Linked DNA regions of Rhinolophus ferrumequinum. The protein of the gene in region 1 purifies or fractionates together with the protein of each later gene. This does not show direct contact. Links are inferred from orthologs where the notes say so. Each region holds a gene or a part of one and is shown on either strand. Other genes may lie near its edges. The genes, in order: NUFIP2, ATXN2L and LSM12.

Region 1 (3,744 bases):
ACTCTATAGAATTATTGCGAGAAATCAAAGGACTCCTAGTGCTTTTATTATTTAGGGCCGCCATGCTAAAGCATCTAACCCTACTTCAAATGGACCCAACAAAACTTGAGTCCTGATAAATCTTGCTTTTGGATTAGAAACTGAAATTATTGAGCACATTTAACCCTCTCTTGCGCCCTCTTCTGGATAAAGAAAATCTTCCTCTTTATAGGTTTGTGGGTAATGGGTCAAAAAAGCCCACCTGAACATACTGGATATATTTCAAAAAACCGGTTTTCTTAGTAAATTAGCATTATGCATGCTGAAGCAACAGTAATGTGACTAGGCCGCACATGAAAACCTGCTCATCCCAAATTGTTTATGTTTCTCAAAATTGCTAAGCCCAGTTTGAAGGATGCCACCTTGAACGGTTCACGATCTGCTTCTATATGTAGAGAGGAGTCCTGACGGTATGTATTAATACGTGACCAACAAAATAAAATTTTCCAATCTGAGCAGTAATACTGCCTTATATTCCAAGCAACCATAAGGGAACATTTTCTCACCTTTAAATTGAAAAAGATGAAACGTTAAAAAGATCTAGTGTTGTAGTTTTTAAACTGTTCCAAATCCTTAGGATTAAGCACTCAACACATCTATATATTCATTTCTACTGCACACCATCAGTCCCTACCCCTACCACCTTCAAAAACGGAAGGCCTGACATTTCAATTTCAGTCTTCAAATCACATTAAGTCTGCAACAGAAAAGCAGTGTTTCTCCCGCTCTCAGTAACAGCTTGTATCACATTTGATAGGCTAGGTTTAAGATTCATTTTCTTACCATTCCCTTCATTTCTCTTCAATGTATAAAGAACCCCTATTTTTAAAAATTCCCATGCTTATAAACTTTTAAGTTCATTTCTTCTCAAATATTTTCTAAAACGACTTTTACCCTCAATTTAACGATTGTTAAAAAAACAAGAGTTTTGGGATCAGTAAAGGTTTGAAAAGGGGAAAACACCGTTCCTTTCAAAATGGAAACAAACCTCCCTTATCCGAGGCAAGATGGTAGTGAACCAACCTCACGGATGAGCCATCTCGGTTCACCCTTAAGGACAAGAAATAGGGGTCAAAAAAACTCGCCCCGTACGTACCCCATCCAATCATTTTTCGAATCGCTCGCCTCAAAAATACTACCCATGCCCTGAAGGTAAATGTTGGGGGTGGGGGAAGTAGAGGGAGATAGAACAAGCTTTTCTTGTAAAAACGAACTGCTAGAAGGAAAGGGCCCAAGTGAAAGCCTGAGAGCCGGAGTCGTGAGCGAACCTGGCAGAAGATGAGGTTCCTGTGGCAGAGAAACTCGTGACCCGGGAGCCGGGTTCCCGCTGGGTACCCCACCCGGCCTTCAGGCACCGCCTCTACCCAAAATGTGCCCCCCCCACCCCCAGCCCTCCTGCCCCCGAGGGGCGCCGAGGACCCTGCCCGCGATCCGCGGCCTCCTTCTCCCTCCGCTCTGCCTGGAGACCCGCGCCCCGGCCGCCCGCGCCTCCCGCCTCACCCGGGAGCGGGAAACGCGACGGCCGGCGCGCGGGGCCCAGCGCAGGCCGCTCCCCTCGTGGCCGCTTCCCTCCCCCACCTCAACCGCCCCCGCCCCTCACCCCAGGGACCCGCCCGGGGCCGCGCGGCAGCCACCGGGTTACACAACCCAGCCGGCGACTGGGGGAGGGGGGCCACGAGCCAGCAGCGCCCCCGCAGTGCAGGGGGGCAAGGCGACTGCCGGTGGGGATCCTGAGCTCTCGGCTCCGCCGCGCCGGGTGCCCCTCGACACCCTTCCCCCTCCGCTGCTCAGTGCGCCGGAGTCGGTGACAGGAATCGGCTTCCAACATGGCGGACAGGAAGCGGCCCCGCGAGGAGGAGAGAACATTCCAGCCGCGCCGGCTCTGGGGGGAGCGGGCCCGGAGAGCCGGCCTCGGGAGGAGCCACGGGGTCCGGTGCCCAAAAGGGGCGTCTAGGGATGGAAATGACCCGAGAGACTAGGGGTCCCAACCGCCCCCCCAGACGGGAACCCCAAGGCCACAGGTGGGCTTGAGGTGGCGGTGAGGACACTTCTCAACTCTGCCCACCTATCCTCTCCTCGCCGCCTGCAAAAGGGTCTCGCGACACCACCAGAGTCGGGATTCGCTAGGCCTTTCTGAGTTACACCCTGAAGGATTTGGGGGGCTAGGTTCACCCCAACTAAGGGCCCCCAAATTAAGGTCCCCCCAGGGCCGCAAGAAGGTAAACGGGAAAAGAATAACAACGTTAGACTTCCAAGGCCGACCCTCAGGGTCTTCCTCCAGCCCCGGCGGGGGCCGGGAAGGTCACACTGGCCTGGTTGGGCCTCTCCCATGCTGAGAGGAAGGAGGGCGCTGCAAACCCCGCGGCCCAGCCCGAGATTTGGGAGAATGAAAGGGGGCTTCCCCAGACTCGCACTACACACTGACACTCGCAGCACCCCGACCCGGTCCGCGCTTTCCGGATCCAGCCCCACCCCCATCGCCCCTACCCCCCACCCTGACTCCCCTTCCCCCACTCGTCCTCCCTCCCAGACCTGTTTTCTTCTTCGGCGTTTCCTGGTGCTGCTGGAGGGCGTGTTTCTGCTCATGTTTCAGCGGCTTTGACTGGGCCTTGGGGCTGCCATCGGCTCCATGCTGTAGGTATTGGTGAGGCTGCTGGTGATGGTGGTGGTGATGGTGGTTGTGGCTGTGGTTGTAGAAATAATAATGGTGGTGGTGATGCGACTGCTGCTGCTGCTGCTGGGGGTGATGGTGTGGATGGTGGTGGTTGTGATGGTGCTGAGGCTGTAGCTGGCCGGGCTTCTCCTCCATTGAAAGCGGCTGGGACTCCCTGGCTGAGGCTGCGGGCTGCTGCACCGTCAGGATCTGAGACTGCTTCTTCGGGCTCACTCAGTATATCTGAGCGCGTCTCGCCTGCGCACTGGTTAACCGAGCGATTCTGCGAGATTGGCAGGCGTGCTCCAGCAATCGAGAGGCACGCTGCGCCGCAGGCCCCGCCCTTAGCCCAAATCCTCTGTCCTCCCCCTTCGCCACAGCCTCCTGGCCAACGCCACTTACCCTGTGCAACCTCACAGGGCTGGGCCTTCAACGTCAGCACTATGGCTCTCTCTTCTGTCGCTTTCTCTCCTTCACCATGCAGTCTGCGAACAGCACTTTCTACACTCCTCGCCCACAAACAAGCTCATGTCGAATGTCGGCAGATTCTACGGGCGATTCTACTGGCTTTGGGAGCCATCTGTTGGTTTTGCACCTCGTAGACTCTGTTGGCTTTTTTTTAAAAATCCTTTTCCGGGTAACCGGAGGGGAAGCGCAATTCCTTAACCCTGAGACCACTAAAGGGGCAATACAAAAAAGAGGAAGTAAATAAATACATTTTTAAGAATACAGGAACTTCACAAATCTGCAGATCATTTTGTATTCTGGATTCATTTTGCTTTGTATTCATATGCTAATCTCTTCCTTTCCAGGGAGGGATTATAGGGTTCCACAATGGGGTATCTGTGTAATTTTCTAAAAGGGCACAAAGGGTTTAAATCATTGTTTCTTTGTAGTTGGAGGCAATGGAGAGCGGGAGGAATGAAAATCTAAAATTTACACAGAATTAGTTGTTTTTTTTAACTGCAGGTAAGGTCAACTGTGAAACCAAGATAGATTTTAGAATATGAAGAGTTTCAAGAGGAAAAGAGCACTTTAAAAGTTAAGTTTTT
Region 2 (3,744 bases), on another chromosome or scaffold:
TCTACAGAAATGAGTGACAGCCACACTGCGGTCCACCACCACTCAATGCACACCTTCAATGAACTTTTTTCATTCTCCTCCTCCTTGCACGCACTCGAAAACTAAGCTAATTTGAGTACACTGACCTTTGAGCTCAGAGTCTTGAAAATACCTTCATAGGTGGTGCCATTCTTCACCTTTACATCACAGGTGGAGCCCTGGGACAGTGGGAAAAATAAAAACGTCTCCAGCAAACAGAGGAATCACTCTCCTCCAACCACCCAGGGGTTAGGCTCCCACTTACCACCACAGCTGTAAGGAAGTGCAGCATTCTGGAATTGTTGTAGACACCCTCAAACACCTGTCAGTAACACAGGAGGAACAAATAAAGAGCCAGACAACACCTCACCTTCCTTCTAAATATCCACACTCCACCCCCCCACCGAAGTACTATGTGCTGAGACCCCTGCTCTTCTGAGCCCACCTGACCATATCTACAACTAATCGGTCCTATATTCCCACCTAGGTGTCTTTTAAGTCTTGGGGTGGGCAGAGGCACTCACCGGTGACTGTGGGGGTCCCTTTCCTGTGCTTTGTCCCCTGTGAGAGAAGGAAACAAGAAACTAATTTAAATCTGTTCAATGCCTGACACGACTGATTTCAAAGGACTTGGTATCCCAGAACCACAGACCACGTGAAGATGCGGATCTAGGCTACAGTGAGTCAACGTAACTTTCAAACTCTCACCTTATAGAGGAAGAAAGGCCTGGGCAGTATAGCCAGTAAACACATTGCCTCCAAACGCCGGGAAAACACATCGCAATCGACCCCTGTTGTCAATTGCTTTTAACAGTACATCCTACACCACTGCCTCGCTTTCTCCAAGGGGCCTGGGCTGCACGCTTCCAACACACCAACGCTCCAGCATTCGACAACCAAAAACCCACCTCCGACATAAAAATGGAAGCTCAGGGAGTGCAGACGCGGAAGTCCCTGGCTCAGGCACGTTACCTCCCAAACCGAAAAGACAATCATTGTCAGCAGCCTGACGCTCCGATCCTGGGAGGAGGGGACTCCCTCCACAGCCCACCCTCTCGACCTCCGGCCTCCTTCGGCGCGGTACCCACTGTGGGAGGGGTCCTCGATCGCCTGCTAAGCCCGCTCCTCGCTGGCTGATGTAACCGGCGGCGGAGGAGGGTGATGAGGGGGCCGTTGGCGGGGCTGGGGGACAGCGCAGCCGCAAGAGCCATCCACCGGAGGCCTCGCCCGGTCTGCGCCTGCGCACTAAAGCCCACGGGCCTCTTCAAAACCCCCTCCCGCGATCCGAACCCACTGCGCCTGCGTGTTCCGCCACGCTCCATTCCATTAACCCATACTCCGAAGAAACCGAGTGGCGTGTCCACCCCTCCATCCCGAAGCCCCTTCGCGCACCCTCCCGGCCACTGCCCTGCATGTTACCCTGGACTCCCGAATGCCTGGGTCATAAGACAGAGCATCCACGCGCACGTACGTAAAGAGCGCGCGCGCGCGCCGGAGGCTCCCGGCCCGCAGACCTCCCAGTGGTCTCTCCTTCCGTCCCCCCGCCCACCCCGCTCCCCTCCTACTGGCCAGACCGGGGAGGAGGAGGCGGCCACACGCTCCCAAGTCCCTCCCTCCCCATTGGCCAAACTGTGGGCCGCGCGCCCCCCTCCATTGGCTACGGCCGGGGACCCCTTCCCGCAGCTGACTCCCCATTGGCTGAAGCCGGGGACCGCGAGACCCTCCTTGGTAATGGAGCCGGGGACCCCAGATCACCTCTTCACCCCCCAACTCCGGGCTCCGACGGCGCTGCCGGGAGGCGCCCTGCCTTCCCCTAAAGCCCGGGCCGCGAGACCCGACCAGGCTCTGAGAGCTGAGCATGGCCCCCGAGTGTCCCGGCAGCTGCCGGGGGACCCTTTTCCTCCGACCTGTTAGGACCTGCGGGGGCCCATTCCCAGCTCAGGGGGGGTGGCCCACGCCCCCTGGCGCCCCTCAAAGGTGGCCAGGCTAGGAGGCCGCCGGGCCGGAACCGAGCCGCCGCTGCCTGTAGCCTGGGCTCCAGCGCCCGGAAAACCACCCCGCGCCACCCCTTCTCACCTGGCGCTGCCGATGGCCGCTGCCCCTGGCCTCTCCTGATGTTGCTGCTGCGGTGGCGGCGGCTGGGGCGCCAAGATGCCCTCGGGTCCCCGGCGGAGCCCGCTCCCGGCAGCGGCTGCAGGCCCCAGGCAGGGGGAAGTGGCCGCGGGAGGCCCTGGGGGAGCCGAGGTGGAGGCCAGGGGCGCCGGGAGGCCGCCGTTGGGAGGGCTGGTGCCCCCAGGAGGCCGGCGGGCCACGGCCTGTTGCGTGGGGGGCGGCTGCTGGGGCTGGGAGGTCTGTTGTGGCGGCTGAGGCTTCAACATGATGGCAGCGTCCGGAAGGGGAATTAGGGGGAAGGAAGGGAGAGAGGCCGGGGCTAGGCCCCCACCGGAGAGCGCAGGAAGCGAGGGGAATTGGGAAGCAAGGGACCCGCCGTTGGCGGGCGGGCGGGCGGGGAGCCCCGCGGGGTCGGGGTTGGATAGAGAAGACCGTGGCGCGAGAAAGCGCCGCGAGGCGGAAGGGGAGGGGGTCTCGCGGGCCAGAGGAAAGCGAGAGGGCGCGAGCCGGCCTGGCGCGCGTGCGCGTCGCCGGGGGAAGGGGGGGAGAGGGAGGAGCGCGCGGGCGGGAGCTCCCGAAGGGGGAGGGGCGGGGAGGGAGCGGCGGCGCGGGGTCCGCGCGCACCGGGGCGGTTAGCGCCGGCGGGGAAGGAGAGAAGAAAGAAAGTGAACCTCGCGCCCCTAGCCTTTGGAATGGGGAAGGAGCAGCGCGGCGCCCACGCGCGCCGAGAATTTAAGGTCTCTGGGTGTCTAACAGCCCCCAACGCTGCCAGCCGCTGTCGCTTCACAATGAGCGTGTGAAACGCTAGGGGAGGAGCCGAGGCAGCCGAGGAAGAGCCGGCCGCCCCGCCCCCTCCGCCGGCGCAGCGCTGGGATGCCTCCGCAGCCGTGGGAGATGCGCACGACGTAACGTGCAGTTCTTCCGCCACTTGGGGGCCCTTGGGCGGAGTCAAAGTGCAAAAAAAAAAAATCCCGGGACTAGACAGGCTGCTGGCAGGTTTCAGGAGGAGCTACTCCCGACCTTATCTGCTTTAAAGAAAAGACTGGCGGGCATTACAGTTGCCAGGTTGAGCCCGGCGGTGTATTTTAAACTTCAGTGGTTTTCAAACCTACATGGTTTCTCCATGCCCTAGAATGAACCCTTAAACCGGAGTAATGAAAGGAAGGCCAAAGTACAAAATGCTCCACCCAACTGCAGTGAAGGCAGCCTTCATTCATTTAAAATGGCTAGATGCTCTTGATACAACTGTAATTAAACCCTTTGCCGCCCTCAGGGAGTTCAAGCTGGTGGTAGATTCAGACAATTAGGTGAGATCTATAATACCGTGTTCCCCCGAAAATAAGACCTAGCCAGACACTCTGCTCAATGCGTCTTTTGGAGCAAAACATATAAGATCCGGTATTTTATTAACTTTTGCTCCAAAAGACGCATTAGAGCTGACTGTCCCGGTAGGTCTTATTTTTGGGGAAACCCGGTATTAGGTGAAGCACAGGGCACTAAGAAAGCAGATAGGAGTGACCCCGGATTGGGTGATGGATTTCTAGGCAAGGGGGAATGGGATGTGACAAGAAAACTTGAGCATGGCTGGAGAATAAAATTAAAGAGGGAGGTTTT
Region 3 (3,744 bases), about 21 Mb from region 1:
TATTGATCAACACGAACTTTGATAGAACTGAAGAGTCAAAAAAGTGATTTGGGGGTTCCCAGAGATCAATTTGTACATCCAAGATTAAAATATCCTAAATCCCTATTTTTGCTAGACCTAAAAATTCAAACATAAAGACCAAAACGGAGCTCTAAGGCAGTAGTTTTCAAATTTGTGTATGTCTGGAATCCCTGAGAATCTGAAAAACACTCTGCATCTTCACCCAGGAGAAACATATATTCATATATGCACACATACACAATTTCAGGAGGTTTACAGGCAACACCCCTACCCAATCCCACCAACTAGAAGTTCACGCATGGACTCCAGGTTTTAAAAAAAACAAACCCTCTTTCACCAAGGACAAAAGCAAGCTCTCAACTCTATTTCTCTATTTGGGCATTAAGATGTTTCTTAAAATCTTCTGAAAATACCCAGGAATAAAACTAAACTGGTATGTTTTTAAAAAGATATCAGAACAAGCAATTGTAATTCAATGAAAAAATGGAAAACAAACAATGGACAATGTATGTATCACCAAGAGTCAATGAGACTCAATTTTCCCCCCATTTTGGAGAGCCAGAACTGCCCTCAAATCCTTACCTTACTAACATTGAGTGAAGCTAGGGGAGGAGGGGTTTCTGTTCGGTCATTAATTATTTCCACTTCTGAAACATATTGTAAGTTTATGAGCAAGATGTCTGCATGGTTGGGCTTTCCACTGGAAGAGGGACATTCTGGTAAGAAAATCAAGTTAAGGAAAATAGGGGCAAGCAGAGAACTGACACATCCCAAACCGGGCATGGAAAACACAATTCACACAAAGCTTGTGTAAAAGGTATGCCAGGAACAAGAGTGGGGAGCCTCAAAAGAATCACAGCTGTCTTCAGGAAATCTCTGCCTGTCACTGTCCTCCCGCTCAACCCCATAACCAAAAGATCTCAAGCTTTTCCAAGCCATATAATGATCCAAAATTGGAAGCCTCAAAGGATTTCTGTCACCTTCTCTCTACCAGTTTTACAGAGCGACATAATGCAGTTTTAATGCCTTATGTATACTGTTTGTCTGGAACCTAATGGACCACTCAGGAGAGGCAGTGCTTTCTGCTCTTGCAGTAATACTCCCTTTATCCATACAGTGCTCTTTTCACTTTTTCAGATCTGAGATTTCCCATTTTGCAGAGAAGAAAACTACAACACTGAAAAAGAAGCCCACTCAAGGTGACACGGCTAGTTAACCCATTTATTCATTCATTCATTCTCCCACCGTTTATTAAGAGTATACTGTATGCCAATTAAAAGCAGAGTTAATTCCTCATTCCCAAACCCTTCCAACTAAACTGCTAATATTAAAGGTCTTATTTGGTCCAGGTATGAATTCTTGTATTAAAAAAGAAAAAAAGCAATTGTTCTTGCTGTAATTATTTCAGAAGACATCTTCCTAAGCTAGAAATCTACAACTATTGGTTAAATAAATTAAAATACTTGCCGCTCAATTGTAGCAGACTCAGTAGGACATTTCCTTTTAAAAGATGCCATAAAGGGTTACTCAAAAAAAAAAAAAAAATCCAAATAAACCCACCTGTGGCTCAAATAAAAGGGGAAGGGGTGGCACATTTATTACAACCAGGAAGTATTTTGTTTCCAAGACTGAGTTTCCTGATGTAATTCAGAAATCACTTCCACCCCAAAGAAGCAGGCCACCTTTTCCATTCTGTTTAATACTGACTTTCAAAAGGGGAGGCTATGTCTATGGAAAAGTCAGGACTCCATGTGCTGGGCTGAGCAAGAGAAGATAACTTACTCTTTCACCTGTAACCCACACATCCCTACCTAAGTCCTGAAAAACGTGGTCCTCTCTCTGGACCAGGTTCCCAATGCAAACATCCCCCAAACAGCAATTTTCTAATGACTAGGAAACCTGGAATTCAGCACTCGCCGCCCCCACTGGCACCAGGCATACACGCGAACAAGCAGAAGCCCCCATCCCCAGTTCAAATCTAAACCCTACCCTGCAGTTCCTCTCCCCCCAAACAGGCGAGGCCCATCTGGTCATGAGCCCACTGCCCTTCCTTGGACCAAATCCAATCAGCAGACACCCCCTTCTAAACTCCATACCCTTGCCCTACTAGCAGTTCCTTACTCTACACACCCCCTCCCCACATTTTATCCGCCCCTCTTCCATCCGGGCTCCAATCCCCCACCCCCCTCCCACGACCACCTCCTCCCCTGATCACTGTGCCCCCTCTCACAGCGTTAACCCCGAAAAGCCATCCGCGTGTCAAGCCACCCACCGACCCTCGCTCGGGTCCCAGCTCCAACAAGGGATGGAAGACAGGGTCCCCAAAGCAGACCGAAGGACCCACGAGAGGGGGAGGGGAAGCTCAGGGCCGTGCGCATGCGCTCCAGGCGCCGGGGTAGCCGGTCGCCCCTAGGCCCGGAGGGCCCCAGCCGCCGCCGTCGTCCCCCACCCCCCCACCACTGCACACACACGCCAGCCCGGCCTCGGGCTCCGCGCAAGGAAGGATACTTAAAGCCAGCATTTTGGACTGGTAGTCGAAGGCTACCACCTCGCCCTGCAGCCGCTGCTCCTGGCACGTCCGGCACGACACCTGGCTCCCAACGCTGAAGTACTCGCCCGGAGGAGCCGCCATCTTGGGAGAGCAGCCGCGGCCGGCGGCGGCGGCGGCAGCAGCGGGCGAAAGCCGGGCCCCCAGTGAGCGCCGCGACGCGACGCACGGGGCGTGCTGACGTCACACGCCAGGGCGTGGCCTGGCTCTGGGTGGGGCGGGAGCCTTAGGTAGAAGAGGAAATAAAGGGGAATCTGAATAATTATGTTCAAACAGCTGCGCTTTCCTTGTCAAGTTCTTGCAGAGTACGTTTTAGAAGTTAAAGATAAATGACTACGTGGAATGAAAAGGGGGAGGAGGAGGGAGCTGCAATCTCCATTATGTGCGCACCTTGACAAAAGAGTTGAATGAATTAACTCTATATTGTCCACATGAGGAACCCGAGGCCCAGAAGACTTAACACGAAACTTAACCAAAATGATTATAGGTACCAAGTTACAAAGTGGTAGTGGAAAGAACATTGGCTATAGAATTAGCTAAACTGGAATCGGAATCCCAGGTCTGCCACTTACCATGGTACATGACCTTGAGCAAATTACTAAACCTGATCAAATTTCTTTATGTCTTCTGTATGAACACTTATTGAGCGTCCAACAGCACTTTGAGGTAAGAATCAATACCCTCGTTTTACAGATGAAGAAACTAAACTTGGCCAGGGTCGTACAACTGGCAAGGATTTGGTCTACCTGTTTCCAAAAACGGTGCTATTTACTGTTACACTACCTATATTAGATAATGCCTTATAAAGTAGTTAGGAAATTAAATGAGATAAAGTGTATAAATGCACGGTATGCAGTAGATAAATGGTACTTCCTCCATGATCACCCATCACCCTTAGAACTCAAGATTCTTCAGCATCTCCTGTCTTGCCCTCTAGAAAGCCAAGAGTGGGAGTGAGGAGCAGTGGTAGTGACAAAGGGTGCCTTGGGGCAGGAGTTTGAGGGACCACCTATAGTACATGTAAGTACTATGCAGATGAATTTTCAAGCTCTATCATCACCAATAGACATCCCTAACCTACCTACCTCCCCTCCCCCAATATAGAAATTCTGAAGCCTCATGTCTGAGTAACAACAGGTTGACCTTTCTCTAGTCGAGAGGGAAGCAATGGGACA

The links.
Region 2: the proteins of NUFIP2 (region 1) and ATXN2L purify together in Homo sapiens (affinity purification with mass spectrometry; 4 studies listed by BioGRID and IntAct, counting the BioPlex papers as one, with this or other methods). This does not show direct contact. The link is inferred for Rhinolophus ferrumequinum from reciprocal best matches to the Homo sapiens genes NUFIP2 and ATXN2L.
Region 3: the proteins of NUFIP2 (region 1) and LSM12 purify together in Homo sapiens (affinity purification with mass spectrometry; 3 studies listed by BioGRID and IntAct, counting the BioPlex papers as one, with this or other methods). This does not show direct contact. The link is inferred for Rhinolophus ferrumequinum from reciprocal best matches to the Homo sapiens genes NUFIP2 and LSM12.

The regions. Positions count from the first base shown.
Region 1 is NC_046304.1:18,309,570-18,313,313, reverse strand, and holds the start of NUFIP2 (FMR1-interacting protein NUFIP2), read right to left. Parts: upstream 2,972-3,744; 5' UTR 2,849-2,971; coding exon 2,572-2,848; intron 1-2,571. UniProt on the Homo sapiens protein: Binds RNA.
Region 2 is NW_022680357.1:1,220,161-1,223,904, reverse strand, and holds the start of ATXN2L (ataxin-2-like protein), read right to left. Parts: upstream 2,397-3,744; coding exon 2,095-2,396; intron 1,747-2,094; exon of another isoform or gene 1,591-1,746; intron 1,491-1,590; exon of another isoform or gene 1,351-1,490; intron 1,237-1,350; exon of another isoform or gene 1,107-1,236; intron 1,088-1,106; exon of another isoform or gene 991-1,087; intron 894-990; exon of another isoform or gene 727-893; intron 580-726; coding exon 543-579; intron 341-542; coding exon 284-340; intron 198-283; coding exon 126-197; intron 1-125. UniProt on the Homo sapiens protein: Involved in the regulation of stress granule and P-body formation.
Region 3 is NC_046304.1:39,192,885-39,196,628, forward strand, and holds the start of LSM12 (protein LSM12), read right to left. Parts: upstream 2,790-3,744; 5' UTR 2,654-2,789; coding exon 2,530-2,653; intron 738-2,529; coding exon 604-737; intron 1-603. UniProt on the Homo sapiens protein: Nicotinic acid adenine dinucleotide phosphate (NAADP) binding protein. Confers NAADP sensitivity to the two pore channel complex (TPCs) by acting as TPC accessory protein necessary for NAADP-evoked Ca(2+) release.